2 linked regions of the Drosophila melanogaster genome follow. The protein of the gene in region 2 interacts with the protein of the main gene of each other region in a pairwise test. Each region holds a gene or a part of one and is shown on either strand. Other genes may lie near its edges.

What was found.
Region 1: the proteins of CG13133 (region 2) and CG13667 interact in a two-hybrid assay, tested with the Drosophila melanogaster proteins (one large-scale study listed by BioGRID).

What each region holds. Positions count from the first base shown.
Region 1 is NT_037436.4:8,397,802-8,414,973, forward strand, and holds CG13667 (uncharacterized protein), read left to right. Parts: upstream 1-7,652; 5' UTR 7,653-7,680; exon of another isoform or gene 7,681-7,735; 5' UTR 7,736-7,738; coding exon 7,739-9,487; 3' UTR 9,488-9,553; downstream 9,554-17,172. Other genes in the region: CG7120 (uncharacterized protein), read left to right, coding at 1,875-2,142, 2,281-2,888, 2,948-4,177; mkg-p (monkey king protein), read right to left, coding at 4,676-6,249, 6,302-6,707; Tpt (tRNA 2'-phosphotransferase), read right to left, coding at 6,758-7,396; Oseg1 (outer segment 1), read right to left, coding at 9,570-9,665, 9,721-9,998, 10,055-10,211, 10,270-10,390, 10,452-10,652, 10,710-10,857, 10,911-11,185, 11,244-11,726 and 3 more; Exo70 (exocyst 70), read left to right, coding at 14,160-14,207, 14,261-14,426, 14,497-15,008, 16,417-16,481, 16,544-17,172; mtrm (matrimony), read left to right, coding at 15,274-15,927.
Region 2 is NT_033779.5:10,082,804-10,099,187, reverse strand, and holds CG13133 (uncharacterized protein), read left to right. Parts: upstream 1-6,798; 5' UTR 6,799-6,952; coding exon 6,953-7,606; 3' UTR 7,607-7,980; downstream 7,981-16,384. Other genes in the region: CG44153 (uncharacterized protein), read left to right, coding at 1,178-1,405, 2,135-2,274, 12,882-12,987.

The sequences.
Region 1 (17,172 bases), on a different chromosome or scaffold from region 2:
GAAAATATTCCTTGGCTGCAAACATTTGCTTAGTGCCGAACTACACCTGGTCTTCCAGTGCTGGGCATGAATATCGCATAATTATATTTATTGTAGATAGCTATGAAAACGTGTCATGGATTAACACAACAAAATATCTGATCAATGTTTGCCACATGAGAAACTGCAAAAAAGTGAAAACTAATGATCGTAGTCGTACCGAGTCGTGATCGATGAAATAATCGCGGCATTGGCGAAGGCGAATCACAGATCCATCATGTGGCATCATCAGCTCTATTTTCCCATTTCGGGCTCCCAGACCCCCCAAGATCCCCGAGATCCCCGAGACCATCCCCGCTCCCACATACCCATTAGCCTGGTGGTGGGCCTGGTACCCAAACCTATTTCTGTGCTTGGGCTACAGTCGCATTCGCGATTCCGTCGTCATAGTGCTCGGACCGCTGGCGCAAGATTAGCAGATTGGCAGAACGATGTACCTGGCGCTTAGCAGACGTTGCATTTCCATTAATTGAATTCGCAGGCCGCCACCCCATTTCGAACCACCCAAAATGCGCCCATCCAAGGTTGGCAAACAACGTGTTATTTATATGCTTGCTGGCTGGCAAAAAAAGAGTGCTTTAATTGTTTTGAATGGGAAAATGTATTCAAGTGCGTTGCACGTATTCAAACGTTTGTTGAACCGAAAATCTGCACGTGTATTATTATAAACAATAAACAAAAATGTAAACTAGTGCAAATCGGTGAAAACCAAACAATGTGTGAATAAAGATCTATAATCCTTTAAAACACAAACAAGTACCTTATATCTAAAAATAAATGCAACTAAATCCCTTATGAACTCAAACTATATATACATATATATATTATACAACTGAAAGATATTGAAAACGAAAAATCACAAGATTATGTACTCTGGAGAGTGACTACAGAAAAAAACATTTGTAAATCAGCTTTGAAATGCAAAGTTCCGGAATTCGCCAATTATAAACTCATCAGCAGTATCATATTCTTTTTTGCATGTTTTGCAAAAAAAAAAAACATAATTTATTCATTGTTTCCACAGAAAATGTATGCGACACTGAAAACTGACCTTTGTAATAAGTGGAAAATGAGTTTTCCAGCTAACGAAAAAATTTGCATCCGTCAGCTACTTACATATACATATGCATTGTACTTTAATTTCAGTTGCAAAAACGACAATAATACGCCAATGAATCTAAAATCACTGCAATACTCATTTAACAAGTAAGTCAATCAAAAATTATTAATTAGTTCACGCGACTTGTGAAACTTATGTAAATAAGCCTTTCTTACTTAGCTTACAAAATACAAGTTAATTTGTTGTTTCACTTGTAGAGTAAAGGGTATGCTAGACTCGTTGAAAAGAATGTAACAGGTTACTCACACACTTTTAAATAATGTTTTGATTTTGTATACCCTAGAAGCGAGTATACCGATTTCGGTCAGCACTCGCTTTGCTACTTGCATATCTCTCTGGCGCTTCACCATCTGCGTAATGGGTATCTTATAGCCGCAACACTCGACTTTTAGCTTACTTACACTCTTATTGCTTACTTCGCTTTCAACATGTGTATTTGTTATTATAATTAGCGTGACTTTCTGCAAATGTAGCGAGAGCTTTTACGATCAGCTGTTTTCTTTAATGATTTTAAACCCAAATAATAATATTTCTCTAGAATAAAAATATGAAAATAATAAATTTGATCAGCAATCTTTTCAATAAAAGTAATTTACGTTCATTTCAATTTTGCTTAAATTAAATTTTAAGTTTACCATTAAAGTAAAGTAAAGTCGGATTGATCTAAACTAAGTGATTTGATTTATGATTATAAATAGACGAGAGCCTAAATGACATGGCAGAGAAACGTCTATTGCTGGATCCATCCACCTCAGAGTCGGAGGAGCCGGAAGTACACATGACCCGACGGGCAGGAGGAGTGCTCCATGCCATCCAGCACCGACCACTTCCGGTTAGCAGGAAATCGGTGCTCGGACTGCTGGTCTCCTTCACGTTCTGCTACTTTCTAATCGGCCGGACCGGTTGGGTGAATGTCCTCGATCTGGATGTCCTGCACTCGGATAACTACGTCACCGTGCAGCATCAATCGACGGTGATGGATGGTGAGTCCACCGATGGAATGACCATATAATTATTTTATTCTTGTTGTATTGGTTTTTATAGTTTGCATGCCAGTAATTATGATTTGGGTATTCCCTTTTTGTTTTTCCCTCCTTATGTTTGTGCTTGCACCCGTCCAGTTGAACCTGAGCCCATTACTGAGACTAATCCATCTGTCCCGAAAGGCTTCCTCGTGTACAGCAACTCCTGCCGCATCATGGAGGTGGATCCGTACAAGAACGAGGTGATGCGGCACTTCAAGCGCATCAAATACAAGTCCTGCCAGAAATTGACACCCCTGACGCAGGTGAAATTCGAGGCAAAGTCTCAAAAGTACCTGCTCAGCATCGATGGAGCGGCCTTCGGTCGCTACCCGGTGGGCAAGCAGCTCCATTGCTGCTACATGTCGGTGCAGCGAGTGGACGAGATGAAGGTCAAGTACACCAAGTGTCAAACCTTCAAGGGAAGCATCCTGCTGCCCGATTCCGCCGAGGGCATCATCGTTAAGTGCGATTCAGGTGGCCGTCAGATCTATATCAATGGCCATGCGACGGTTCCCGTCAAGGAGGCAGTGCAGCAACGATTACGAATGGCGTCCGAGGCCGACGCCAAGGGCTATCAGAGACCTCCGAGCGTCTTGATGCTCGGCATCGATAGCATCTCCCGTGTTAATCTTATCAGAGCCATGCCCAAAACGGCTCAGTATCTCTACGACAACGGATGGTTCGAACTGGCGGGCTATAATAAGGTGAGACTGGTACATGATATGGAAGAACTTGAGATTTCTTATCCGCATCCTGTCCCCAGGTGGACGACAATACATTTCCAAATATCATGGCTGTGCTCACCGGCTACAATCTGCCCAATGCCATGCACGCGTGCTCGCCATTCGTGGTTGGTGGCCTGGACAAGTGCGACTACATCTGGAAGCAGTACCAGCAGAGGGGCTACGTGACCGCCTACGCGGAGGATGCCGTCAAGATCAACACTTTCAATTACCTAAAGAAGGGCTTCAAGAATCCGCCGGCGGATTACTACTTGAGGCCATATCTCTCCGCCGCCGAATCACAGCTGGATCACACGACGGTCAATGGTCTGGTGCACTGCCTCGGCTATCTGACGGCGGCGGAGCATGTGTACGACTATGGGCTGGAGTTCACCAGGAGGTTCCTTAACGAGACATACTTTGGATTTTTCTGGACCAACACGCACAGCCACAGTGACATTTCGCAGACCAGCAGTATGGACAGCTATATGGAGGAGTATCTGCGGAAGCTTGTGCGCCAGGGCACCATGGAGAACACGGTGGTGGTGTTCTTCAGCGATCATGGCATGCGGTTCGGACCGACGAGGGCCACCTGGTCGGGTCACTTGGAGGAACGTTTGCCGGCCATCTTTATTTGGTTACCCCAACACCTGCGTCGCTCACATCCACAATTTGTGCGTAGCCTCCAGCTGAACAGGAATCGCCTGACCACGCCCTACGACCTACACCTAACCATGAAGCACATACTGGCCATATCCGGGCGCGCTGAAATGGAATCGTTAGGTCCGGCACCCGATTGCCCGCAATGCCAGAGTTTACTGACCCCCGTCTCGCCGCAAAGGAGTTGCTCCGATGTGGGCATCGCGGATCACTGGTGCACCTGTTGGGAATACGACACCATATCGAGCACCTCGAAGGAGTCGCGGATGCTAGGCAAGCGTGTGGTCAGCTATCTCAATAACTATGTGGCCGAGTTCCGAAACGGCACCTTTGCCAAGCTATGTGCCCCCCTCTCCCTGCACAGCATCAAATCCGCGTTCCGGGCGCATCACAACGCCCTCGATCCGGATGAGGTGCACACCTATCGACTGATCTTTGTCACGTCGCCCAATAAGGGCCAGTACGAAGCCACGTTGCGACACAATCACACGGATGACTCCGTAAAGGTGACCGGATCGGTGAGCCGATTGAATGTCTACAGCGGAGAGGCGGATTGCATGAATGATTTTGCTGCCAAAAAATATTGTTATTGCCGAAAGAAGAAGGGATAGATATATCAGGATTATAACTAAGGCTAGTGCCCAAGTGCCGTTACTCAGATTACGATCTAAAAGTACAATTAACTTAATACTATACAATAGAAATTCTTCCTCTCTCTATGCCTAAAAGTATCTGGATTAGCCCCCAGTAGAAAGTATACTCAAAATTGAACTCCCTACGCTTCAAAGACTTTTGTGATTACTTTACACAATTATAACCTCTTTATTATTCTTGGGGAGTTTCAGACACACACTTGTAAATGATTTAGATAAGCTTTGTTGTCGCCCTTGTAAATAATTTCTCCCTGCTCCAAGAGACTTTTGCCAAGAAATCGTTTAGTCAACTTTACATATGATTAGTCGTCGTTACACTTATAATTTAAGGTATTAGTTTAGCCTATAGTGATATTGTACATTCAAATAAAATAATGTTAATAATGTCATTAAGGTGTGTTTTCAATTTGCCATTGAATTCAAAAAGTATGTACATAAAGCATGACATGTTGATATTCATATTTGGTCAGTTGTGGCGCAAAACTTCCAGGTGCTGACCTTCTCTTTGAAACTATAGTTGCCCAGGAGATTCTTAAACGCCTTAAAAAGCCTTGTTAGCGGACTATTGCGCTGCAGTCCGAGGAGATCTCCTTGAAGAGGCTGCACATCCAGGCGCAACTCTTTGTAATCCTCGCTGGCCTGCAGCGTGAAATAGCCGCGCAAATTGACTGCGTACTGCGGATTTCCCATTCTCGTCTTCGTAAACTCAATCGTCTGCTGCAACTGGTGGGCGAAGAAAGATTGACCGGCGCCACGTTGGAAAGAGCGTCCTGTCCAAGTGTCGTAAGAAATGCTGATTAGCCACTTGTAGTGTTTCGGCTCCTTCGATTCTTTAAGTTCCACATTCAAAGCATACAGTTGAGTTAGCACATCCTTTATAGTGTCCACGTAGCAGATCAACCAGTAGTAATATATGCTCTGATCGTTCTCCGTGTTCTTGACCAGCACAATGGAGCGCAGGCATTTGACATCGTTTGTGGTGGGCGTGATGACGTGTGATCGCACTAAGGGCGGTGTCCCACAAACTCCGACTTCGGCGACTTTTGTTTCTTGTGTCTCATCGACGATTGGCGGTTGCACATGGGCGTTTTCAATTTTTTGTTGCTTTCGCGGCGTAGCCCTTTCTGATCTTTTATCTGCCACTATTTTGTCGGCTACTAACTTATCCGCCAGGCCAAATAATAGGTAGTCGTATAGCTTCTCTGGTTGCGAAGTTAGTTCCTGATCGCTGCACGCTTGAGCTGCCAGGACTAGGCATTGTCTAAAGTAACATAAATTTGAAATGGACACTGATTTGGCCACGTTGCGACTGAGCTCGAAGGGATCCTGTACGCACATGGCCCTATCCAGCTGGAAAGCGTCTGGCGGCGCACCTATTGCATCATGCACGAGCTTTTGTTGCTCATCGTACTCGGGAAAACCTCCCGGCATGCCCAGTGTTGTCTCCTTGTCCACACAGCCGCCCAGAAACGGACTCAATACACTTTTGTCAAAGTTGACAGTGCAGTAGTATATGAAGAAGTTTTTAAGTAAATCCAGCGTGGTGAGCCGTGCTGGGATCGGCGGCGTTAGGTCCAGGCTGTAGGCATAGTTAACGCCCGACAAAATAACCGGTGGACAGAGTGACTGGAGCTCTTTGACGGAGGGCACTAGTCGATTCACTTGCAAGTTAACGATGATCAAGGATATTAAGCAATAGCTTGTCATGCCGCCATGACTAATCAATTTTAGCTTCTTGGCCCAAATTTTCAAAAACAGGCAGAGCTCGCGTATCCGCTCATTGCGAAACATCAGTTCGCCCACAAATCGGGAGTTATATATGCTATTCGGATTTGACATATTGATGTCTATGTTGAGTCCGGTGAGCTGATGCTTACATCTAATGATGGGCACGCTGGCATGACGAATGGTGAAGACATCCGCAAAGCATTTGGATCTTCGTAAAAAGTGTGAGGTCTTGTTGTATAGCTGATTATGGAACAATGGTGGCTGGTTGCCGTTGGGCTCCAGAAACAAATCGATGTCGCTCTCTGCGGAAAAGGATTCGGATTATGTGCTTTTCTTGTACTGGTGATCACTTACCCTTCAGTGCTAAACCCGTAACCAGTGAACCAAAGGGGAACACCCTAACCCTGCCCCTCATCTCCTTCTCTATGCAGTTCCGGACGTGCCCGAAGCAGGTTTTCATATTTTCGAGATCACAAGCAAAGAAATTCAATACGGTGCACAAGTGCCCGCCGGACTCGGACCATTCGAGAGCCTCCCGCAGCTCTTGACGCTCGGATTGGCTTTGTGCGCTGTTAAATAGCTTGGTAATGGCGTTCAATCGCTGTCGCAGTTGCTTTTGTGGCTTGCTGGCGTGCTTGATCAGCTCGTGGGCAAGGCAATCCTGCATACTCCGGAAGGGAGCAGCGCATACCATGCAAAGCACAAGATTACCGTCACCATCCCCAGGCGGAGAAGTTGATTCCGAGGCAGGGGCCGGCATTTCTGTAAAAAATCGTTTTAATTACTGCTTAACGGCCAGGTTTATTCTATTCAATAACAATGATCAATTTGTAAGGGTTGCCCCGTTTTCTTGTCCACTACACGCTGAAAGTAGGAACTATGTATGAAGCCTTCAATTCCCGGACAGAGCAGTACATTATTGCTGGATCGATAGATGGGTATGCCGTCCGCCAGCACCTTTTCCACGTTTAGATATATCAAAATCTGGCAATCGCTGCGGAATCCACTCAGAGTGGAATTGGTCTCATCGCTGCATGCAAAGTGCACATGGTTGCGGTTCATCCTACTTAGCCCTTGGCTTCTAATTGCCCCCCAATGTCTGTAATAGGTGCCATGAACTGCCAGGGGTACCTGGCTCACATGGGTAATATTCTCGAGACCGCCAGCTTCGCCTTCCAGCACCGCCAATGAGTGTCCCTGATTGGCGCGAATCTCATGGACTCCGAGTTCTGGATTCCAGCGAAGAGTATATCGTTGCTTGGCATCCGCGGCGGCAATCTCCTTCAGTTTTTCTAAGGTGAAGCACAAGTAGCGTGGGTGCTTCTGCAAATCGGGAACGCTAACAAATCCATCAGCACGGATCGTGATTCCCTCCGTTTTCGCACCGTGCCGCAACAGCCAGGATAGCTTTTTGCTTAGCTGCGTATTGATTTGCTGATTCGAGGCCATTGCCTGCGAAACTTACTTTTATTTACGCAAAACAATGCAATATGTTTAATTGCGTTTCTATTAGAGGTGGCGATGCATCGACATTTAAGACTATCGATGTTTTTAGGTTCATCACTATTCGAAGAAAAAGAAGAAGAGCTACAACGCTACTAGAAACGAATGAATGAAATACTAATTTCAATTTCAATTATTTTGGTATTTCGGCACCCGTAGTTTCTATAACATAACAGTGCAGCGTAACAGCGTGCTGTTAAGTTTGAGGACCAGGCTGTTATGCGCAAATTGTAACATATGAAATACGGTAATCAGTAAATTTTATTCGAAAATTCTGAATTGTAGAAAATGCGGCTGTTAGTGCTCTACGGGAGTCAAACCGGCACCGCCCAGGATGTGGCGGAACAGATCTGGCGGGAGTCGCATCAACTGGGCTTCCAAGGACCCGTGCTGCCTTTCGACGAGTACGATATGACCAAACTTATTGAGGAGCGCCTCGTGGTCTTTGTGGTGGCCACTACGGGTGACGGAGTGGAGCCGGATAACATGAAGCTGGCCTGGCGATTTCTCCTGAAGCGCAGCTTACCCGCCCAATCCTTGCAAGGCATGCAGTTCGCGTGCCTTGGACTCGGGGACTCCAGCTATCCGAAGTTTAACTATGCCGCCAAGAAACTGAGCAAGAGACTACAGAATCTGGGAGCAAATAGCGTGTGTCCAGTGGGTCTGTGTGATGATCAGCATGACTACGGGCATTTGGGTGTATCCCTTAGCTGGACAAAGGATTTGTGGACAGCTCTGAAAGGCATCTCTGGTCTTGACGAAAGTAAACTTAGCAACAGCCACCAAACTACTGTAAAGTGGTCAGTAAAGGAGCTGCCTAAGGATTCCCAAATTGCTCCGATGGACAATCTGCTCTGGAGCCAAAAACAAACTGCCCACTCTTTCAAAATTCTGGATAACCAAAGAACAACGGCGGTGGATCACTTTCAGGATGTACGCTTCCTAAGGCTGCAGTGTCAGACTGAAGATCTTAGCTGGGAACCCGGCGATGTACTCGATGTTCAGCCGCAAAACAGCGATGAAGCTGTCCAAACATTCTTCGACCTTATTCGCGAACACAGCCTGAACTTCGATGAGAGCACTATAGTGGAGGTATCCAGTGCACATCAGGATATGCCCCTTCCCATAGCCTATTCCAATCCCTTAAGCCTCCTCCAGGCCGCCAAATTCGTTTGGGACTTGAGTGCTAAGCCACGGCAACGTTTCCTCGAGGTACTAGCACAGAATTGCTGCGATGAAATGGAAAAGGAAAAGCTGCTCGAATTCTCCTCCGCGGAGGGAATTGATGACTTAGTGGCTTATGTGAACAGGCCGCGTCGTAATCTTTTGGAGGTTCTGGAGGATTTCCGGCACGCCACCTCTAGCTTAACTCTGCAACAGCTCTTTGAGATGATGCCACTGATCCAGCCACGCAGTTTTTCCATTGCCTCGGATGTTTCCGCCTTAAGTTTGGACTTGCTGGTGGCCGTTGTGGAGTACAAAACCATAATGCATACTCCACGTCTGGGCTTATGCTCCAACTGGCTGAAGACTTTGAAATCGGGTACTGAGTTGAGCGGAGTTGTCAAAAGAGGAACCATGGTCTGGCCAAAAGACTTAAGTATACCACTTATAATGGTAGGACCTGGCACAGGCATCGCTCCATTCCGTAGCATTATCCAAAACCGATTGTATGCTCAATCAAAAGGTGCCACAATTGGTCCCTTGGTTGTTTTCTTTGGCTGTCGGAACAAAGCTGCCGATTTCCACTTTGGAAATGACTTCTCCACCTGGACCGATGCGAAACAGGTAGAGGCCCATACTGCCTTCTCGAGGGATCAGGATCAGAAGGTCTATGTCCAGCATTTAATCGCCAAGAATGGTGCTCATCTGGCGAGGCTTATAAAAGACCTGAATGCCTATATCTACGTGGCTGGCAACTCCAATAATATGCCAAAGTCTGTCAAAGAGGCCTTTATCGAGATACTAGATGGCGATGCCGATTACGTGGAACTAATGATAAAACAGCGACGATATCAGGAGGAAACCTGGGCGTAACACCGTATTTATTTGCGTATAGTTCCTATTTGTACAGTTTTGGACGGAAATTATATATTTGCACACACTTCTTATGTCGATTTCAAAAGTCTTCCATCAGCTTTTCGGAGGATGTGTGACAAAAGGGACAGTGACCTTTTTGCAGCACTTGCAGCTCAAAGTCCTCCGCATAGAAAAGCTAAAAAGGGTTACTTAATATACGAAATGAAATGATGTGGTTTGTATAACCTTACCAGCAGACATTGAGGACAATAGGTAACCTGAAGATCGGGTAATATATTACGATAGTACACATTCCGCACATTCTTTCCCCTCCGTTTAAGAATCAGCACATGATTGGGATCTATGGCACGCAGGCCATTGCGATCCAAGCTCAAAGGCAATGCACTGGCCACATCCTCGTTAAATGGATCCGAATCCTCGGCGTGCTTTGCAGGAGCCAGCAGCAAGCGCTCCGCCTCGGCATCAGAGATATCCACTTCTGGATAAAATTGTACTAGGGGTAGAATTTCTAAAAAGAGGCATCATCATTATCAGATATCTAAGCTAATAGACAAAATTCCATACCGAAGGAAACGAAAGAGAAAATATAATCCTGCCGGCAAGTGGGACAGCAATTGCTATTCAAATGTTGACTGTAGTTGGAGCACTTGTAACATAGTGGCAAAAGCTCCTCCGGATCATTGAAGCCACTTTTGCAAGCCTTGCTATTTAGAAAATTTAGCTGAAAAGGTACTTCATAAGCATATCATTTGGATGATTAATGTTTTCACATCACTCACATCAATCTGCTCTTGGACTCCAGCTGGTGGCTTCAACGACTGCAGTCTCTTGTTAATAAGAAGGCATAACTTGTTGGCCTGCAAAAACTTAGCTTGCTTGGCCAGAGTGAAGAGAACCGAACTGGAAGATAGGATTTCTGTCGATTCACGTTCTACTTTTGCGATTTGAGCTCTTAACTTACAACATGCTGACACCTTTGGGGACACCTTTGTGCTCCACTTCGTTTAGTATAAAGCGGCTTACGTTAAATAGGCTAACTGGGGAATGTGTGGTGAATGGTTCTTTCATATATGAGTATATGACACTGTAGGCGTAATAAACCTTGGCAACACGTAAATGATTTTTGTACTCCGTAAGGTGGTGATCAACAGGATTTTGTTCTCTATAAAACAAAAGTTTTAGAAATTAAGAAGTGCACTGATTGTAATATTTCACTTACTCCTTGGCGTGATATACATCTAAATGTTGCTTGGCCAGCAGCCAATAAAAGTAGCTCGCATCCAAGTAGCGCTCCTCCACGATGGCCGTATTGCTCAGTTGCTTAAGCAAACGATTGGCTTCCTTGGTGCGTCCTGCCTTTATGTAGGCTGAAAAGTAAAACTTTTATATTAAATAAACATAACAAAAGTTATAAACTCACCCTGATGCGCCTCTATAAACTGATCCGTTTCGGCCAGCCATTGCCCATGCTGGTAGTGCACCGTGGGCAGAAGTTCCGGCAGCGATTCCGCCAAACGAAATGCTTCCGGCCAGTCGCGTACCTCGATGTGCAGTTGCACCACCTGGGCTTCATCGCCCAGCTTCTTGAAAATCTCAGCAGCCAGGGGAAGAGCTTTGAGGGTCTTTAGGTTCTGGGCCACCGATTCCAGGGAATCGCGTTCCGTAAGACTCAGTCGTCGTCCGATATCGTAAAGCCTGTAAGAAGTTAGGTTTATTATAAACGATATGTGTGCAATTTTCTTGATTTCCTTACACATCGGCCCATCCTTGCTCTGCGACAATATCAATGGCCTTCTGATTTTCGCCAGCTGAAAGCAATAGTTCCGCAGCAGCTCGTGGCTCCTTAACCGAATATGCCCATTCCGCTCGCTTGCGTACCAGTTCCTTCTTCTCCTGGTCGGTGCCGTCCTTAATATACTCCTGGGCTAAATCGAACATACGTAGATCTGTGTACATTTCAAGTGCTCTTGAGGACTGGCCGCATTTGAGAAATAGACGAGCTGCCTCCTTGAACTTGCCGGCAAAGGCGCAATTCTCTGCGAGAAGTACCTCCTTAGGAACCGCCGATCGCTGTTGCTGATCTCGTAGCTCACCGATGAGTTTGAGCCACGGAAGATTCCTCACCTTGACGTAGGCATCGCGAGCGATATTTATGTGCAGTGCCTCCAGAGCGGATTGAGCTAATCCCTCCCAGTCGCTGGTGGTCACGCCCAGGCAGGCGACCTGGTAGGCTTCGCTGAAATAAAATATAACATCTTTTATTAGGAGATTCCAAGCAGAATTGGAATATGTCTTACTCAAACAATCCAGCTTCGATGAACTGCCACATGGTGGAACCGAGAGCCAAAGGCGTATTGTGCATAATATTTCCGCGCAGGCAGAAGGCAGTGGCTCCGCAAAGCCCCACCACCACGCCATGCATGTTCTGTGGTGCCCTCGGCGGCAGATTCCCCACGCGAACGCTTAATCCGCCTGTTGTGTGGGTATAGCAGAGCATCGAATCCAGGTGCGTGTTCCAAGTGACGCTGTTTACACCCGTATCCTGGTACAAAATTGTATCGTTGATTACGTCCCGCACAACCAAGCGACCCACATCGTCCACAACTGCGATCTTGCTGCGCTTCGAATTGATATCCAGGCAGCGAACCGCTGACACCGCAGTGGTGATGAGCAGTGGTAGTGAGTTGTTGAGAAAGATTCGGAACACTTGGCCGTTCTTCAAGCCCACCATTAGTCCTTCTCTTCCCACGGGGCCACCGGTGACTTTGATGTATCTTATGAACGAGTCCATGATCCACTCGCGCTGCAGGACACCCATGAAATCCAGACATTGGAGACGCTTCTCCTGGCACAGGACAATGTGACGGCCACAAACAACCAGCAAGCTGCAGTCGAACTTTTGCTGGATCTTCTCGCGCACTTTATAGTGCATGGGTTGATCCTCTCCAGAGCTCAGCTCATAGAGAACCACACGTTCCGGCAACTGAACCGCCAGTCGATTCCGATAAATGGCTATTTTCTGAACTAAATCTCGACACTTGATGCGCACCTTTTGGCCAGAGATCAGGTGCTGAATGATCACGTCGCACATGTTTTCCCGGAAGGCATAGCGCTCGCGGTAGAGGGCATGCACGGTACTAGACGCAATGTTGAAGCAGGCCAGGGTTCCATCTTGACACCCAATGGTGTAGGATTGACCATTGGGATGTAGGGCAACTGTCCAGATCCAGGTGTCAAAGGTATCGCCCAACGTACCCAGCCGAATGCCCTCCCTGGTGAAGAAGTGTAGACCTCCAGTGCAGCCGCCCACCAGGCAGAACTCCCCATTGGGAAAGTACTGCAGGCACAAGGGATCAAAGCCCAGGGTTCGCTCCTTGCCAATCATCTGGCCGCTCAGAGTGTGAAAGGATAGCGTTTGGCTCCAGTCCACCACACCGATGGTGTCCACACTGCCAGGACCGCTGGCCGGACAACATTGGACACTGAAGACGTTGCTGTTGGGCCCACCAGGCCGATCGATTCTCCCCTTCTCCTCGCCCAACTTGTTCCTAATGGATATGGTGCCATTGGCCAGGCCCAGGATCAGGTACTGTCCATCATTGGTCCACGAGCAGCCATTGACACGCGCGGATATCTTGTACTTTTGCACCGCCTTCTGATCAGCCGACCAAAAGGCAAAATCCGACAAGGAGCACGAGGCCAGGTGGTGCGAAACAGGATTGAAGCTCATGCACTGTATGGAGTCACCGTGCCTATGAATGTAAATATATTTTTATATTTATATAAAAAACTAGAATTTATTGCAAGTGTGCTGAGAACTCACGAATACTTGAGCAGTCCCTCAAGCTGAGGTGACCACACGATGACCATTTTATCGGAGGCTCCGCTGGCGAACCGCTTGCCATCCCGCGAGTAGGCCACACAATTGACCGTATCCTTGTGCGCCTTCAAGGTGTTCAGCAAGGAGCCATCGTTTGGATCGTAGATGAGCAACCGATCCCCCGCAGCCACCACCAATTGGCTGCCATCGGGTGCGTAGCACACATTGTGGACACTGGAAAATTGGGTTTTGCAAATACCGTTATGGCGTTATAGCAAGCAACAGGTTGTTGTTTTCCACGAATGAGAAAGCTTTACCTGATCTCATTGTCTTTGCTATTGGGAAACTCTATGCGTTCCAGCCACTTGAGAACACCCCTCATTGTTGCAGAAGTCGAATTGGCTAATCCTGCATAGTTGGTAGAAATTCCTAAATGCAGGTGCGTTGTTTACACACAGATTCCATGGCAACCAACCACAACAAAAGTTGGCGTCTTGGCTGGAGATGGCAGTTTGGCGGGTTTTTCCGTTAGTTTTGGCTTTTAAAACTAGGACTTGACTAATAAACTAGTACTAGTAGTAAAAACAATTTATTTAAAACATAGCCTCATTATCGTTTACCTAATTGTCTAAGTGTACAATATTTAAAAAAAGTTTCTATTACTATCTGAAATGACCGTTATAATTTTTTTTTTCGTGCAAAGTAGTTGGCAACGCGGTAATTGACAGTATGACCAAAGCCAGTGTGCATAAATGCCTAGTTTCGTCAAAACAAAATAAAATAGAATTGTTTTTTATATCAGAACTATTGTTTGTTTTTAAAGGATTTTAGCTACATATACGCTTGAAAATGAACAATTTGGACAGTTCATTGCAGGCGCACAATAAATTGGAGAAGGTATGTCTAGTTGTCATGCTCAAAACCTCCATACTTACCCATTTTCCTCATAGGAAGCCACCAATTTAGCTCTGCTGAAAGATCGAGTGGATAAATACCATGATCTGTCCACGCAAATGTCCAGTATTCTAACAATCTTCGAGAAGCGCCTGGGAAACCTGGAGCAGACCATATTGCCCGTCTACCAGGAGACGGAGCAGCTCCAGAAACGGCAGCAGAGTATGAAAATAAACTCAATGGGATTTCAAAAAAAAAAAACTAATGTGTCACCGCCTCTTTTTTTTTTTAGATCTGGAAGCTACTCTCAATTGTCTGGAAAGCGTCCTGTCCCACTACGATGTCTCCCAAGAGGTCTGCCAGTTGATTCATCAAGGCCCGGTGGAGGGAAACATCTCGGTGTTCCTCGACGCACTAGCCAAACTGCGCGATGCCAACGATTACTTCCGGCACAACAATTCCCAGAGCGTGGAGCTGGAGAATGTCACCAGTTTGTTTAACACCGGCTGCGAAGGCCTGAGTCAGCACTATAGTATGCTCCTCAAGAAGCACAGTGCTCCGCTGAAGCCGGTGGAGTTGCTGGATCTTATCTACATAGAGGACGATTCCAGCGATGAATACACCTCATTCCGGCAGCTTTCGCAAACGACGCGCGAGGAGCTGTACACCATATCGCACTGGTTGGAGCAAAATTTAAGGGAGTACACAAACATCTACGCGACGGAACGGGGCGAAGTGGTTCTCCGATCGCTGCAGCTGCTCAAGGATCACCAAAAGAGCAACAGTTGGGGTCACGAGGCTCTGGTGAGTAAACAGTTCTTTCATATTCTAACTAGTATTAATACATATATATTATGTGGAGAAAAATAGTACGTAGTAGAATATGAATAGCGATGTGTACGATGATGAGCATATGTATGCTTTTCCCATCTCTGATCGTTTCGGTTAACGGTGTCTGTTCGAAAAAGCTTGTGCATGTAAGCATTACATGTCCAATTCGATGACCGCCATTTGCCAGCTTGAATTCGCAAAGAACGCATCATTTTCTGTGTCACAGTATCTAAAAAAAATGGAGAATTCTCGCACGCCCACGAACAAGACCAAAATTACGCTTAATCGCACGCCAACGCTAAAGGAGCGCAGATGGAACACCCTGAAGGTGAACACCTCCAACGTGCGATGCTCTACTCCGATCTTTGGCAACTTCCGTTCGCCCAATCTCTCGCCCATCGAGAATATGGGCACGAAGGGGAAGAGTCCAGTGTCGCCCATGCGGTTCGCTACCTTCAAGAAAGTGCCAACGAAGGTGCATCCCAAGCAGCAGCAGCAGCAGCAGCATCAGCACTGCCATCGCACTCAGCTTAAGCCCCCGCCATTCGTGCTGCCCAAGCCGCAGGAGGAGATCATCGAGCCGGAGCGAGAAATAAAGAGCTGCAGCAGCCCGGATACCTGTTCGGATGACTCGAATATGGAGACCTCACTGGCCTTGGAGTCGCGTCGTCGTTCCATCAAAGCATCGAACCACTCGTACGTGGTTAACCATGCCGCCAATGTGGAACAGATTCTCATGCACATGGGCCTGGAGAACTATGTGACCAATTTCGAAGAGGCTCACATCGATCTGGTGGAACTGGCATCCTTGGAGCGTGCTGATCTTGTTAAAATCGGCCTAAATACCGATGAGGATTGCAACCGTATCATGGATGTGCTCCACACTCTTTAAGTGAATCGCTGGCATGTCCATCTTTTATCATACACTAAGATTTTAAAATGTTTTATGTGAAGAGAAACTTTGTGATTTTAATATATGTGGATAATTAAGTAGGTATTCTAGAATTATTGTAAAAGACCTGGTGTCTTAAAGCTCGTCGTTTTTAGCCTTAAATAATAAACTCTAGTACACTTTAAGAATCTATGTAATTCCTAAAATGTTGCTCCGAAGCTCATTTACAAATTTAAATTTATTTCGTAAGCTAGCAAATTGCATAATACTTTTTGTCAAAAAAAAAAAAAAAAATTGGGGTATAAACGCTTTTGTAAAACACACATTTTTAAAATTAATAAACTCATAAGAATCAAATGCATATTAAAAGGTTACAAAAATAAGAGTTTTTAATTTGCTACCATTTTAGTACCTTAATTATTCCGAAGAAACATTAATGCAATGGCAATTAACAATTCAAATTAATGTTTTTAAAATGTTTTCTTGCAGAGACCGCGACACAGTGGACGCCAAACGGAGCCAAAAAAGACAACCTCCGCTCGTCTTCAGCAAATGTGAGAAATATTACTTAATTTCCAAGTTTTCGTATATGATATATTTAATTTATTCTGCATAGATTCGAAAAGAAGGCGAACAAGTTATATTTACGCGCGACGCAGACGATTGAGCAGTCCACAGGGTTCTCCATTAAGAAGGCATCATCGCACAGCGACCACCTGACCTCCGAGGATTTGATGGATGGCGATCAGGAACTGGACAAGTATCTGGTCATGTTGCTGGGACTGCAGCGGTTACTTAACTGGGAGCGAGCCATCATGATCGACATTATTCCCCAGTCGAAACACAACGAGGTATTCGCCACCTTGGCCTATAATGCCATCGATCTGGTGGTTAAGGACGCTGAGGCCATTACGCAACGCATCCTGCGCTGCATTTCCCGCAAGGAGTGGACCTCGGCGTTGGGAATATTCTCCGCCCTAAAGCGGGTTATACTGCTGCAGCCGGATATTGACCGCACATACGATCCTGCGCAAAGGGAACAGTTGAAAAAAGTACTAAAAAAGTTGCAGCACACCGGTGCCAAGGCATTGGAGCATTTCCTGGACGTAGTCAAGGGCGAATCGAGCACCAATATTGTGGGCCAAAGCAATGTTCCAAAGGATGCCACCGTGCACGAGCTGACCTCCAATACGATCTGGTTTATTGAGCACTTGTACGATCATTTCGATGTTATTGGTTCCATTT
Region 2 (16,384 bases):
CACAAATAATTACAAATTGCAGTGGTGCACCGAAAAAAAAAGAAAATAGGTAAGCCCAGGCATCAAAAAGCCAATTGAAATAGTTCAAGGTTTTTAAAAAGGCGCGATGGTGGCCCATAATTACTTTCAATAAGTTTTGGCCACACAAACCATAGTGACCGGTGTGCTCGAGGAGACTTTCCCTGTCAGCTTTGATTTCATGGCTTGCCACATTTTCCGCCAAGTTTTTCCCATTTTCCCGCACTATTGTGAGCGTCTAGTGGCATCTTAATTAAAACGCTCTAATTGGTTATGTCTGAGAGTCGAACAAAAAGGCGAACTCTGCAAGTTTAACACCCCTTTGTGGGTCACTAAATAATTCCCAATTAAAAGTAAAGTCCACTCCTTTATCACAATCAAATTGGGAATTCAAGAACTTTGCAGCTTTGGCTCTTTTGAAAATGAAAAAAAAAAGAAGAAAACACCCATTGACTTCAAGCTCTTGGGGCATAAAGAAGATGTGACTCAATAGTATGAATATTTAAGCATGCAACAAAAAGCCGGACTAACACAGATAAAGTTGCTAAAACTTTCGGACAACAAAACTAACAACCGTACTAGGACTTAGGTGGAACAACGACCCACCGACCCACCGACTTTACCAAGGAAAATGGCTTTAGCATAATGCATAATCATTTAAACAAGGATATGCCTTGAGTTGAGCTGAGTCCTGCAGGCCGGCCGGGCATTCTGACACAACCCGGTGCAGGCAAGTCCGGAAAAATGCCTTTTATGGCCAATTTGAGCGGGAAAAGCTTGGCCCGCAGCTTAAAGCCAGGCGATAAGAACAAAGCAACCGAAAAGGTGAGCATCCAAGGACACTTTAAGCGCTCTCCTGCGTCATCCTGGCATGCCAGGTGAGCCCTAGTTGTGCTCCAACATTTTCGTATCTTTTTGGCCAATGTGTGCCTGTATTCCGATGCGGGCCCAATGCCCAGTAGTGCTATTCGCAGGAATATATTATCATTAATTTCGAATTATGAAAAAGTGGCGACGCATTCAACGAGCTTGGGGCTTTGAGCTAGGCTACGAACAAAAAATGGTTAAGGGTTAATATGTTGGCCAAAGTTGTATCCCTTTAATACAACGAAGTGTTAAGCATCTGAACTAAATGAAATGTTCTCCTTTTTTTTTTTAGCTTGGTCGTGTCCTGCGCAACTTCAACATCACAAAGATTAGCGATCTGGAGCTGATATCAAATTCCACCGATCGCCTGGACATCACCTTTCACTTCTTTGGCGTGAAAGGTGACTCACAGCGTATCCGGGATGCCATCACACGGATGGTGGAGCGCGGCAGGATAGGAAACTTCACACTGGTGGCGAATTTCCATCACTTCGACGAGAATCCTCCGCTCGGCTTGCTGGTGAGTAGCTAGTAAAAAAAGCATTTACCAATTGATTCTTACGGAATTCTACGTTCGAGGCAGACACTCGTAGTGTTTTATTTATAGAGCTCTACGCTGTCCTATTGAAATTTGTGCACAAATAAATTTTATATTTCACTTTGCACTCTGGGCACATCCATCAATCGGAGGCATTCCATCATTGATTTTCGCCGAATGGTATTTTCATTAATTCGCATCCGAGCCGGACCATCTCGGCTATTAAAAGCGTAATAAATATATATAGGGCCACCTACCCACATGGGTGGGTCACTACCATCCATTTCCGATACATATTAAACAATAATTTATTAACTATTGAGCCGTGTGCCGGAATAAAAACATAATAGCCAATGTAGCAAAGTGCCGTGTTAATAAATATGCACATAAATATGTCAACAGTGTGGCACTTGACACTCGAACCGAAAACGGCAACGAAAATAATTATTTATTAATTGCGGCCAGTTCGCCCGAACAATTGGACTCATCAGAGTTGGCCGGCAATTAAGTGGCATTAACATGACGAACAAGCCGCCAAACCTCAGTGGTATATCCCCCCCCCATCCTATCCCACCACTGCCAAATGTTTGACGGACTGGCACCCAAAGGAACACAAGCAATCCCAAACCGATGAGCTCAAAACCTCGAACCGAAAACCGAACCACAGCCATCCTGTGTCTAATTAGTGTGACATTGTCTCCCCTTTCGCAGGAGCTGACCGTCAATCAGCCGCAATCAGGAGTCCGCGAGGCCAGCGAGTTCATCATATCCTGCACGGCCCAAGGCTCATCCCGGATGCAGTTCCAGTGGTTCAAGGATGGCGCTGTGGTTAATGCCAGCAAATCGACGAGGTGAGTGAACTATATATATACATGTCGCAGCTGCTTATCTTCCACAACCAGCTCGAAATGCCATAAACTTGCTGCCCGCGTAATGGAATATGGAATGAGAATGGAGTAGTGCCTAGAAAACTGTGAAACGGAGTCTGGAGTTTTAATAAAATAGTATAGAATCGAAAGAATATGGCAAAAATCAATGTCACACTCGGAAAGTCAGAAACGGGTGAAGACGGGTGGAAATCGCGAGGGATGACTCTCGTCACAAGTGTTCAATTTGACTTTATGACTTTTACACATCAATAAACATGACATAAAAACGCCAGGCGGAATAAAAATGAAATGGCCAAAAAGGATAAATAAGTCAGGGCAAAGATAAAGATTTGTCAGTGGCCATGGACGAAGGACGGGGTACAAGTTGGTAAGTTGCTAGCTGGGAACTGGAGGCTGGCTGGGATACTGAGTTCTGGACCAGACCGAAACCTAACCGCAGTAAGCCTAACCGAATGATTGATCATAAATCCTACAGAGTGGGCCAGCCGGAACACATGTGTTGGCCAACATATACGAATGGCATGCCCATTCCATTCCGGAATGCCTCAGACTTCCGACTACAGGCTCCACAACCCCGCAATTCAGATCCACTTTCGGATCCACTTGGCTGGCGGGTAGTGTGGGTGTATTACATAAAAAGCATATGGCCGTAACTAACGAGGGGCTGTTACTTGGGCGACTTGGCAGGGGTTATGAGCAGCTTAGCCCTACCAGGAGCAACACCACCCACTTTCCGCCCGTCATGTTGCCTTGACAATTCGCCTTGCAGCCGAAAGCACCACCACAAAGCTCAAACTTTAAATGTGTTGCGTGAATGGCAAACGAGCGAAACGGAGGTCCTTGGAAAGGATTGGTTAAATGAGTACGCGGTGCGCAGGGCGGTGCAGATGCCGATAGAATTCGCAATTCATTAACAAAATTTTAAGCCTTGGCAGGCTGGCTTTCGCCATTCTGGGACAACGCGTTTTTGGAAACTACATGTCACGAAACGTTGCCAAAAGTTGTTTTTATCTGACCAGAAATTTAAATTTCCATTCTCTTGAAATCTAAAAATATCTAAAATTTCAAGAAAATGCGCGTATAAGCTGTTTGGTTAGGAAAACATTCGAAATGGATCGAACTCTTTAGGAATATAACTATTATATGGTAAATTGTTGTTTTTATCTTTGCAACAATTTAACCAAATATAGTTTGTATTACTTGTTATTCAATCGGCAGATGGCCATCAAATTGATAACGATGTGTTCTATTTTTATGCGGTATTCGAATAAAGGATTGTTCATCCGAATATTACCTTTCAAATAAATAAATGTATGGCCCCCATTCCCGCAAATCGATAACCAAATCTATTCTCGGAGTTCAGTTTTTGTTATCTAGTGAAGCCAACTATGCGTTTTCCAAATGCCAACTGCTACATAGAACAATTCGGACCCTTCCATGGCCATTCCGCCAGCTAGCCCCATCCGATGATGATGATGGTGATGGAGGAGGAGGTGGTGGTGGTGGTGGTGGTGGGGATCCGGACTTATGATTACTTTTATGCATATTTGTACGGATCCCCCACATGTACATGGTATCCTTGTTTGCTGCAGGACCTCCACGTGGCTGGCAGACCTTCCATCAGTTTCAGTTTCGCCCAGTTTGCGTGGCCCACTCGGACGCATTGATGTGTAAAAAATGACTGCCGTACAAAGCCGCAAACATGTGTTTTACTCCACCCAAAATCCCCGCAAATGGAGGGTAGGCAAGTATTAGTAAATATTTTAACTAAAGTGAAGTGAGTGAAGTCATTCATTTGGACATTTACCAACTTTGCATTATACAAACGACTACACATTAAATCCGTCCGATGACTTTACTTTTGCGTACTAAAATAACCGGAAGTAAGTGAATTTTTAATGCTTGATTTCACCGCAGGGAGATGTTCACTTGGGCAAATGCTATTTATTATCGAAATATGGCCAATACTGGCCATCTACTGATTAGTTACCACCGATGGCTATTGGCAACCAATTGGCACATTTAGACAGTTTGCTTAAGGCACGTATAAAGTAATTGTGTTTAGACTTAGATAAAGGACAATAAATATAAGTATACATATCTAGTAACATTAACTACATTTTAAGAATATGAAGTTTCGAGCTTTCGGAACACTATCAACCAATCCGTTGTGGCCAAGTGTAACGAACCTTATGTTCAGATACAGATACCTTTAAGCCCGCAAACTGAGGCGTTCGGCCGTTAATCTATTGGATTGCCAGTCGCCGAAATTGTGACCCAGTTAGCAGATGTTTATCGCAAGCGTCGTAGGCAATAACCCACTTAATGAATGCAATTATTTTCCAATCACGGCACTAAGGCATCCAAAGCTGGTTGCCAAGAGGCCCGCAACCATGGCTAACTGGCCCCAAACTCCCAAAACAGGGGTGGCTTTGATTAACATGCCTTGGCGTTCCAATTGCCATTTGAAGGCGGTAGGTACACACACACACACACACATGTGTGTAAAATAATCAATGGCCACGGTCATTAATTGCGCCCCTAATCCTGTGTCCTTTGCAATCTGGGGCGAGGATTTGCAGGACTACAAGGCCGTTGGGCTGATTAAGTGCCACAACAGTAGTAATACAATTATTGAAGCAGCGGCTAAGCAAATACTTCTCATTAAGCCAACTTCGATTGTCTTAATTGTTGGATTTTACTTTTCAAAAATATCCTTAATCGCTTGAAATAATCGAGGTCCTTTTATTGTGCAAACTACACCACTTTTTGCTTACTTAAAGCTTGCGAACACCTTTAAAGTCTGAATTGAACTGAGTTCAAGACTGAAAAGCAGCCAACAAAGATCCATTTTTCCCACATTTTATTTGCCTAACAAATTCCAGCTAATTCGATCAACAGGAGCTTGCTAAAAACTAAGCTCTGTACGTTTCTCTGACGTCTTTGGCATCGATGTGTTATGTAAAAGCGGTGCACAATTTGTAGCCAGCAAACCAATTGACCTTTTGAGGAAGGAATTTAGATTCCTGCTAATATTAGCTTAACCCTAAGCACTTGCGTAATCTATATTTGTCCCAGCGCCATGAAGTGGAAGGGCTTGACTGCCTGTCAATGCAATTTCAAACCCATCTACCCCTTGGCCCCCATCCCCTTTTGACTTTTCTGCTTTTCCCTTGGCCAAGAAAACATCGACTTTTGGCTTGGAAGCTAACGAAACTGTTGCAGTCACTTTTGGCCGTGCTCTGAAAATTTGTCAAACTTGCTTAAAAGCCAAAGCAAAAATTCAATTTCAGCAGCCATGCAGCGCGAGCAGCCAAATTGCCTGACCCCAGCAGCACCAGACATAAGTAAAATATATATCGTATATATTTTACAAATTGGCTCAACCCGGGGCAGCAGTGGTACAAAAATGGCAGCAACAAAGAGGCAACAACTGTCTTGACAACGCAACGACGATGTCGTCGTCGTCGTCTAAGGACAATGGAATACAGCTATCGAATACAGGGTGCAAATCGAGAGGAAGTGGTTGTAATTTGGTCCCACGAGCCTTAAGGATTTGGCGGGAAATTTAATCCGACGCAGCTTTCATTATCTACAGCCAATCAGAAAATTTGGTTGCTTACTTTTGCCATATTTTCCGTAAAAGATAGCACCCTGTTAACAGCTGTTTGGATAGCACTGCAGTCACACTGAAAAAAAAAACGCACTAAAAAAAGTGTATTTCAAATTTTAAAATAAGTATACAATTTTAACAAGGACTTTTGCCACTCTTCATGGAGTAGCTTTCGATTTTCATAGATATCCATGCAGTTTCTCTTAGTGCATAAGTATCCAATGTTGCTGTGGGGTCACGATTTTCATTAGTTTCATTTGCCACAATGCGTCTGCCATACTCGTCTGCCGAGTTCAGTTGCTCGGATTTGCTTTGCTCTTCCCGTGGCGGGGTGACAATGGTACAATTAGTGACACCATTCGCCATTCCTCCAGCACTCGGTTTGATTCAAAATTTTTGGCATTATCTCATAACTGGCTCAACTCGCGCTGTGTGCACTGTGCTCTCCTTGTCCCGTCTTCCGATTCCGGCTCCTTGGCGCCGCTTGTGCAATAAAAGGACGAAGCTCCGCGGCTGATTGGACTGCTGGTGGGACGGGTATTGATCAAACAGTTCGAGTTGTCGGACAAGGCTGAGACCCACTTTCCCGGGAACGCGTGTCCCACTGAAGGAACGCGATACAGTAAAATCCTGATATATGTAACTGATTGAGAGTTATCACTTAGTAAAAAGCCATTTACCTGTAGCCAACTTAATTAAAAGAATATCTTTTGGTTTACGTGCATGTTTCTAAATGATCCTTTCCTGCATCGAATTGGAGTCGCACCTACTGAAGAGTCACTGTACTTAAAAACGCCATTGAAGGTGGAACAGAAATATGCTCAGTTAGAGTGGCTTTGGTGCCAGGTACAGTTGTGCAGCTCCAAGTTCCAGCGATTACCATAACCTCATCCACTCAGTTAGCTTGTAAGAGTCGAACCGGGCGGAGGGCAACGGTTTTTTTGGCCACATAAGCCAAAAATCAACACGCTTGCTCCGTGTGTCCAACGAACCGGAGTCCGTGCATCGGGAACCGGTGGCGCAGTCATGCCCATCCACTGGGACTGGGATTGGGAGCATGATCACGAGCATGGTCACCATCACTGGCAACCGCCGCGTCGCCACTGGTCCACCGGGGAGTCCAAGTGCCGGCAGAGGCACTACTATCTCTCCCACGACCTGGACGTATGTGCGCGGGACTTTCACTTGCGGATGGACGACAGTGCCTGGTGCCATGGATCCTGTCTGGTTGGGCGAGTGGTCATAGAGACCGGCACCGAACCGGACTCCCTGGGTCGGGGCACCTTCAAGGTGGTGCTGGACGTGCACCACTTTCAGATCTCTGAGCTCACGGTGAAGGCCAAAAACAGCGACACCGTGTGCGTGGAGGGCAAGCAGGCGGATGACCGGGCGGAGAAGGGTCAGTTGTGCATCACTCGCGAGTTTACGCGATCCTACAAGCTACCACGGCACTACGATGCCACACAGGCACGGGCCACCTTCTCTGCGGACGGAATACTGATGATTACGGTGCCAGCACCACCGAAACTGGACGACGTGGAGCGCGAGATCGAGATTGAGCCCACGGGCAATTACTTTGGCAGCGTGTCCGATCCCACGGCGCCCAAGGCTATCGAGCAGGCGGATGTGGACGGCGATGGTGGAGAGGCTAATCCTGCTGGCACGGCGATGGACAAATGAAGCCGGCGACGTCTGGCGGTTGCGCGGCGGTTCCGCTTGCTCATACCAAAGTGGAGGCGGAAGTCCAAATGCGTTTAGGCCGCCAGAGGCAGTCGATCGGTTGGAGGGCAGTTGCAGTATATCAGACGGAGAGACAGTCGAAGCACATTCCAGTCACCTGGCGCACATGCACGTTGGAGTTTTTCGTGGAAACCAAAATCACTCGGATTGTTCCTGGGTTCCAGCTTAGATAGCACGTAGTCCTTCGTTCGAAACGTGAGCAAATATGGCGAAGTCAACATTTTGTAGAATTTTCTTAAGGTAGCTTCAATATAACGTTTAAGAGTTCATATCCGCTTGTGATTTTGTTTAACGCCAATAAAGGACTTTATCAGAAAACAGGAGAGTTTTGAATATTTCCAGATTTTTCGAAGAAATAATTTAACACCTTTAATCTTATCATTTATTTAAACGGTATTCTGTTTTATTTTGTACTGTATTTTGCAATGGCTGTTCATTTTCTTCGAGCTTAATTATTAAATATAATGAAGATGAACATTTCACTGGAAAATATATTTACATTTAATGAATTCTAAATCAAATCGGATCAAGGTATTTAAAGATAACAATGTTTCATTCCACCAAGTTGTTATTTCAAGTACAATCCGAATGAAAATATCCTCCAGCTAATCGGGAAAACAAACCCAAATCAGGGATAAATCATGCCTCTGGGAAAACTTCAGCTCGAATTCAAAACCCAAGCGAATTGGATTTCTCGCTGCTTTTAACTTTCCTGTCACGCAGCTTTTGATTAGCGTCAAATTTGAATAAAATTCACTAACACCTTTTGTGTTTTTCTTGTCTGTGTTCGTATCCTCGGGCACATGGCCCATAAAAAGACAATAAAGAAACCCAGCTAGTCAGCTAGAAGTGTATAATAGACGTAGGCATACGTACATATGTATTTTAGTTTGGCTATCGACCCAAGAAAATTCTAAAAAAAAGGGAATAAAACATAGCTACAAAGCTCTTTTCAAAAGCTATGAGATACATGAAAAGATTTGCAATTAAATGTCAGATGAAATGATTTACTATCTGCAGAATAAGTTTAAAAATAGTTGGGTAACAATCTTAAGCTCCAACATATTTTGCACCAAAAAAATAAAAGGCTGGGCACTTTGGGGCGTGTGACCCACTTCATAAGAACCCAATCAAGCCTTCGACCTTCTCCCAAAATCGTGGGCTACTGCTCCGTTTTTGATTCGGTCTTGGTCCCTTGCAATTTAGCCGTTGAGACACGTTTTCCCGTTACGATTCTAATGAAATTTGCTACATCTTGAAGTGAATTGTTGCAGGCCGCAGCGCGGCAGCTGAAAAAATTGCCAATTGAGGAGACGAGGTCGCGTACACTTTGTCATCGTTTTGTTTTTATGCGTAGTTGCGTTTAATAAAGTTTTTATATGGCGCCCTCGACTAAGAGGGGAATCCCCGAACGTAGTGCCCATCCTGTCGGATGCCCGGACGGACTGCCTGTTTTCTAATCTAGTTACGATGCCTGCAGCTTTAAGATATTGGTCGGGGGACTCACTTTCCGGGCCGTAGGATATTCATATATTTACGAGTATGGCGAAGGACGCGCGATAAAATATTCAGCAGAAAAGCAACTTCACAATTTCAATTTCCCATGCCATATTGGTGACGGCGGGGACAAACCAAAATAACACAACGATAATAAACACCTACACACCCATTTTATGAACTCATAAAACACTCCGATGGAATCGGAATCGTATATTTTATATATATATATATATTGTGCGTGTGTCCGTGCTTAAATAACTGGATGAGGCCTACAGCCTTGTTGTCCATAAAAACGCACCCATATGCACCTCTTCCGCTCCCGGGATCTAGAGAAAACATTGACCATCATCGACCATCGCCATGGGCCATTTCCATTGTTGTTTCATGGTTTTTATATTTCCCGGTTCGCGACTCCGCAGAAATCGGTATGCGGCTCACAACTAATTTTTATTTTCTATGCCCTTTGATCCACTGCGGGCGCCGATTGGAATGTTCTGCTGGCAACTTTTCAATCACACACTACCACTACTAATCAAATATCCCCGGGGATTAGCCAACTTGTAGATGAGTTGACGGTGTGCGTGAAGGACGGGACACCTAATTACGCAAATTGATGCGACATTAGACGGTAACGGAGCTGGAAACTGGAGCTCTCTAGGGGGATAGAATACTGAAGGACTTGTTTCCGCCAGGGGATCTTAGACGCCGACTGTATTGACATGTAGGAATATATAAACAAACATTTCGCATGCCGAGTTGATTTAATGGTAAATTGAAGCTTAAACATTTAACGGTGTCCTTTTCTATCCTTTTATCAAAGTGCAATTTGTGAATGAGCATAGTAACAACTTAAAGTTATTTTATACTTGCTTTAAAAGCTAGCTAATACCCATAAAGTGGTTTCAAGTATAGCACCTGCCTTTGTTTCGATCATTTGCCCATGTATCGAACTATTCGTGAATAGTGCTAAGTGGGCATTACTGGCTGGAAAATCCGTGATTTTGGAGCATGTACAACAGAGTTTGCTGACATCGTAAGACTTCGCCACCAATGCCGACATAATTGGTCCATTGAACCTTACAGCCAATGCGTTGTTATGAGTTGTTTGACCAGCAACCAAAGCACATCAGCTCAAATGAAGCGCAGATTGGGGATTCCCCCCCATCAGGGACTAGCATCCTGCGGACTCGCATCCTGACAGCCGACTGGCTGTAGTTGTATTTACAGGACACGCACACAGACACGCGCACACGCCTACGCAAAGGCATTTTGCGGGCCATTTGTAGCGCTTTCAATTCCGGGAAGCGGAAAAGGGTGCGGGTACTTGGTACGGGGATTGCGGAGGAGTGGCAAATGCATTTTGCAACCGCAGCCGACAACGGAACGAAACGTTTCTGCCCCGGGAGCAAATTCAGTTGCCGGAGATGGTTACGTGAGGCAAATCGCATTGGGAAAATGCATCATTAACAGGAATGAAGCACCGATCTGTGGAGGACCGAAGCACGAAATACCCGAACTGAAAATGCCATATGGTTATAAGCTGATGAATAATAATACTAAAATAATAATAAAAGTTACTTAGCCACACTATAAGTTTATATTACTTTCGCAACTTTTGCCAGTCCTGCCAGCCTGGCATAAAATAAAAATATCTTCAAACAAATCCAAGCGAATGTCGTTCGAACTTTAAGATTATTTGGCACACAGCTTATGGGCTATTGTGCAGATAATCCTGCCCAGATCCAGATAAATACATGCATTAAGGACTCGGATATGCTTCCTTTGTTTGGGGGCCTTTCACGCAGTATGCGTATATCCTTGGCAGGGAATCGAATTGAGCACACACCATGAAGCGAATCGAATGGGCTCCAGCCACCAACGACCCAAATCGAATAATGTTCAGCTGTTTCGCAGCGATATTAGATAGCAACCAATTCAAAAGAGAGAAAACCACCAGCTCCTTTGGACATCACGTACGCATCGCTGAGGTCCTAATCCTTCGTCCTGCGTTGCAATTGCTGCAACTGCAGTTCCACTTTCGGCGGGCAATGCAGTGGCATTAGTGGAGCTGCTGCGGCTTAGCCAGCTTCCTGGACGGCCAGGACGTTCAGGGTGACCAGGACAATGCAGGACGTCAATGTGCTATTGTGCCAAAGTCGATGTCAATCCTGCCTGGGCCCATTTGCTGTAAGCGAGGCCAAACAGGACCTGTGGCCGCGTTGCTGTTTTTGCGGTTGTTGTTAGCGAGTCCTGCGAGGACATCATAGTTGGCACTGCTTCGCTGTGGCTGCTGCATTGCATTTAAGCGTTACGCACTTCCGGTTGGGAGTGTTATTACTTCCGTTGCCATTTAATTGATTTTGAAGGTGCGTGTTTGGCGTTTGCCCATGAGGAGCCGCAAAGGAGTCCTTCCGCCCGTTGCCATTAGTAAATTGTAGGTTAAGTGCTCTGCATGCCCAAAAACCCCAGGCCCATTCCCATTCCCATTCCCATTCCCACTACCATTCCCATTGAAAACGCATTTTTAGACGCCTCTACACCTGTAAATAGCTGTGCCAAAGGCACTAGGTACGCCAGTGGGTGTGCGGTTAAGGATGCGGTTTTTGGGCACTTTTTACCGCCATGACGTCAGCGCTATCCATGCGTAAAAGTTATTAGTGAAATGCACTCAGCCGGCGGAAGAAAGGCGCAAGAAGAAGAAGATGACGAGGTGGAGCGAGGGAGTCAGGCGGAAACTGCTGATGTTTGTTGGCCACGAAAACCTCAAACAGCACTTAAGTTGTTGCCAGCTGGAAGGTTTTCGGTTTTCGGCTTTCGGTTTACTTTGCTTAGTGCTCATGGAACGCAATGCTGTGCTGCCACCGCCACTGCAACCAGGTGCAATCTGCGATTTCCAGCTCTCCGGAGGATTATGAGCCATGCCCGTGAGGAGTCTAATAGGCTTACCGTGCATTTTCGACAGTTTGCAGAACTTTTGCTCAAGCCGCTGAATTTAAATTCGCAATTACCCGATTCCACATCGCTTGTCACAGACACGAGCACTGCGATTCTCGCTAAATTGAATCTCAGATTATATATAAAGTCATGTAAGTACGTAAGTGAGAGTAGAAGTCATCTCATCAACCAGCCCATTGATTGATTCCCGTTGGCAACGTTTCATTCTCCCAACATTTTTGAGCCAGACGCATTCGCACATGCAAGTACGAGACTGCAAACCGACCCATTTATCCACAAAACCAAAAACTATTAACAATTTTAGCAACAATGCGTCGTTGCAGCCGCATTCAGGGCATTTGGAAAAACATTTGAAAATGAAACATGTTCCCGCTAATTGACTTCGAACCGCAGCATCCGCGATTGTTTCCCCATTAGCTATGATTTCTTTCGCCCAGAAAGCCATTGGCTATGGTATAGGTGGGGGGCTATGTGGATATGGGGTCGTGATAAGTGAGCTGCTATTAGTGTGTCAATTAGCGGGCTTGCTGCATATGATCCAGTTCACTTGGCCCGGGCGGGCTCCATGGAATACAGCTGTGCAGCATATGGGGCATATTGTATTCGCCATTTGGCATTTGGCTGGCTGTCACGGGGCGTGAGAATTAATGCACGACTGGCGGTGTGCGAATCTGTTTCAAGTACTTTCACTCGCAGAAACCGAAAGTGGAGAAGTGCTAATTAGCATGACTAACTAAGGCTTTCATCTGCTCCTTTGCAGAGAAATCTGGACCACGGTCCTGCCGCCCGAAACCAAAGATGTCTACACCGCCATTCTGGGCGTGACCAAGGCGAGTCGGATCGACGAGGGCGTCTATAGCTGCAAGGTAAGTTATAATATAATCATATCTCAGAGATACTTATTCTAAGGTAGCACTGTTTGTATTCGAACTTTAACATAAATTTAGCAAATTTTTTATAAATTCTATAGACAATTTATTTCCGTCTTTTGTATCACTTTTGTAACTAATTAAATTCTCTATGTGACATTTAAACATTAATAAATTAGATACTACTTTCATTTTTGTAAAACTCGCATAGAATTCGTAACTAGGCCAACATTGATTCTGGCCATCACTTCCGCATCAAAGCGTTTTAAAAAATATCCATGTCAATCCGGGCTGATGATCTGAAAATGCCACTTGGTCCTTTGGTTTTTGTTTTTTTTTACAGCGATTACGGTTCCCCGGGCACTTTTTCAGGCCTCGTAGTATTTTCATCTGACTAATCAGTCTAATTGCCATATCATAACAGCACAGAGCTATTCCGACTGTATTTAGCGCGTCTGGAAAAAAACGACATGCCCACCCAGAAGGCCACACAATTACATTTGGCTTTGCTGCGTTCTGTTCACGGCTGTGTTCTTCATTTTCGCTATAACGTTGCTTTTAATTAGACTAATTAAAATATGTTGGAGCGACGAGATAGAAAGGAGTGCGATGGCGAGCAATGTGGCCATCCATTGCACTTGAATGCTCTTTCTCGGGACGGGCCAATTAAATTTTAATCTATGTTATTAAACATTCTTTTGACTGCGGTTTCCGGGGATGAATTTACGGGTGCCCAAAGATGATTTTACGTTCCGGATTCACTCTCACTCGCTTTCTCTCCCTTTTGGCTTACAGCCCAGTACTAAATAAGAGTTTTAAATTGTTCCGGACGATTAGACCCAAAACTGCCCTGCTTCCTGGGACCCCAAATCCTGCAGGACCCTTCTTTATGGCTTAGGTAATAACATATTACGCAAATGGCTTGTAAAAAAATATTGGACCGCCGTAAAGGAAGCCACGTGAAAAGTTTCCCAAGAAAAGTTTGGACCACACAAGTACGTGGACACATGACCAATTCACTTGGATGCCAAGTTAGTTATAAATCAAATGGTAATTTGATTGCCTGCTCACGGTAGATTGTAATAAAATGTTTCCCGTTTCATGTGTATAAATCAAATTTAGAATTGTTGCCAACTCAATTGAACTTCGGCATTAGCATAATGGCTCTTGATTTAATACGAAACATTCTGAAGTAATTTACTTGGATTTAAAAAGGCACACGAGATTACTTTAAGTCGGCATCGTAATCAAAAGGGGAAGTGCAACCACAAAAAGCGTCAGCATCTGTTGCACCACCCAGCTGGCATTTCTTGGAGGCCCCTGGACCCATTGTATTTAGTGCCTGGTCCGAGGCTCTCCAGTTCCAGTTCCAGCCCAAAGGGGGATTCCGCTAAGTTCTTTATGGGGGAGCCTACGCTTTGGCCGCTTTGTGCCTTTGGCGAGCCTCGTGCCGCTCACTTATTATTGTCCTGGCTTCGCCGTAATGACGCAACAGCCAGATCAAAGGCAGGATGCCAGGATGCCAGGCTGGCAGGACGAGGCGAAACGCTCGGCAGTTGCAGCAACAACTGAACGATAATCACGAGGAGGGCCGGAACGGAGCTGAGTGTCCGAACTGGGTCCCCGAAGGTCGATTGTGCCCACGTCTCGCAGCTGTTTGCTGAAAACTCGAGCGCATGAATCCTTTTCAATAACACCGCCTCGGGGTCCAAGTCAATAAAGCGCCTGCCAATGCCGCCACCACGGCCCATTATGAGAACTTGGGGACTTGGATGCATGTCCACGTCCATAAGTTGTCCACAGCAAAAACACAAGAATACAAGAATACACACGAAAAACCCAAACACTTCTAATGGGGGCGTGTGCCTTTGCGCATTTATTATTTATGTATTGATATTAAGTATACGCCTTGTTGCAATTAATTCATCTGCCTTGGGGGAAATCGGTCGTCTCGGGTCCATTACGTGCACAATGGCCCCAAGCGGTGCGCTGTCTTTAAGCCAGCTGCATTAGCCCCACCGCCCTAAGCCATTTCAGTTTTCACAGGACACGACTGGAGCTTAAGTGTTCTCTGGATTATAAGTGTACCGAAGTGAAGGATTTGTTCGTCCTATGAAGTATGACTCAAGTACGGTTTGAATTGGAAAAGGTCCACTTTGATTTTGCCACAATATTAAAGCAATAAAGTCAAGATTGTTTCTAGTTATCGCAGTTAAATTTGTAAACCTCAATGGGCCTCAATGTCAATATCCATTAGCCAAATAAATGCTGATGGTTGCGATATAACCCATTTTATGAACTATTAATTCCGCTGGAGTGTTGTTCATTGATCGGCCCAAAGTGTCGTGGCCAAATGTTTAGCCATTCACGGGGCACAATGTGTTGTTTTTAACGACTTGGCCTGTTAATGAGTCGCGACTTATCCGGTCCAATGAAATACCATTTAGCCATAAAGGCGCTCCTCGTTGGCCAAGTTTTGCAGTCGGACAGCGTCGCAACTTAATGAGTTAATTGGCATTTGGATTTTGTGGCCTGGCCAGGATTTGTTGACGCTGCAGAGTCGTAAATGCCACTGCAAATCCCAACGACATTTCCCGATTGTGAGGACTACAAAAAGAAGCACAGAATTTAAAGCCGTCGTGGCCATAAAAAAAAAAAAAGAAAACCAACTAACCTTTGGCTTACGCCAAGAGTGTCTCGCTGTCTATTAAATATTTCCGGATCGGCTGAATCCAAGAGCCCGAGGGCCCAGATATCAGACGAGGATGCAGAAAAACCGGTCCAGACCAGTGCGCGATACCTTCACCTCGGTGACAATGATGCCGCCTCCTCGTTAGCTGTATCGTTTTATTCACATTTTTCTTTTTCTTTTTTTTTTTTAAATTTGAAACGGAAGTGGGCTGAGCATCTGCCCATCATCATCATCATCATCGTTGACGCGTGGCGACGTCTAGGTTCTCCCACTTGAAATAACTATGTAAGGGGGCACAAAGTAATAATGCTAATATCCTTGCTGGAAGAATAACTTAACTTATGTTAAAATAGATCAATTTATTTCATTTTATTTGGAACTTAAAGTAGCAAGTATATAGAACTATTTATCCATAGGGGTATTTCTTGAATGCAAGTATATATTAAAACATTTTTTGCCGAGTGTAGCACTCGATGCTTTCCCAAGGGAGGAATGTGCAACAACGGCAGCATCAAGCAACAAAGCAAGTTTACAATTCGTTTGCTAGCCATCCGCGTGGAAATAAATAAATAAATGCAGAATGTTGCCTCGAACCCACACAATCCTACTAAGGCCTTAAGTAGCCATCTTGGCCAAGCAAGTGCTCGTAAATACTTTGGCTCGTGTGGAGCTTCAAGAGTCCTTGGAAGCTGGCAGAGTGCT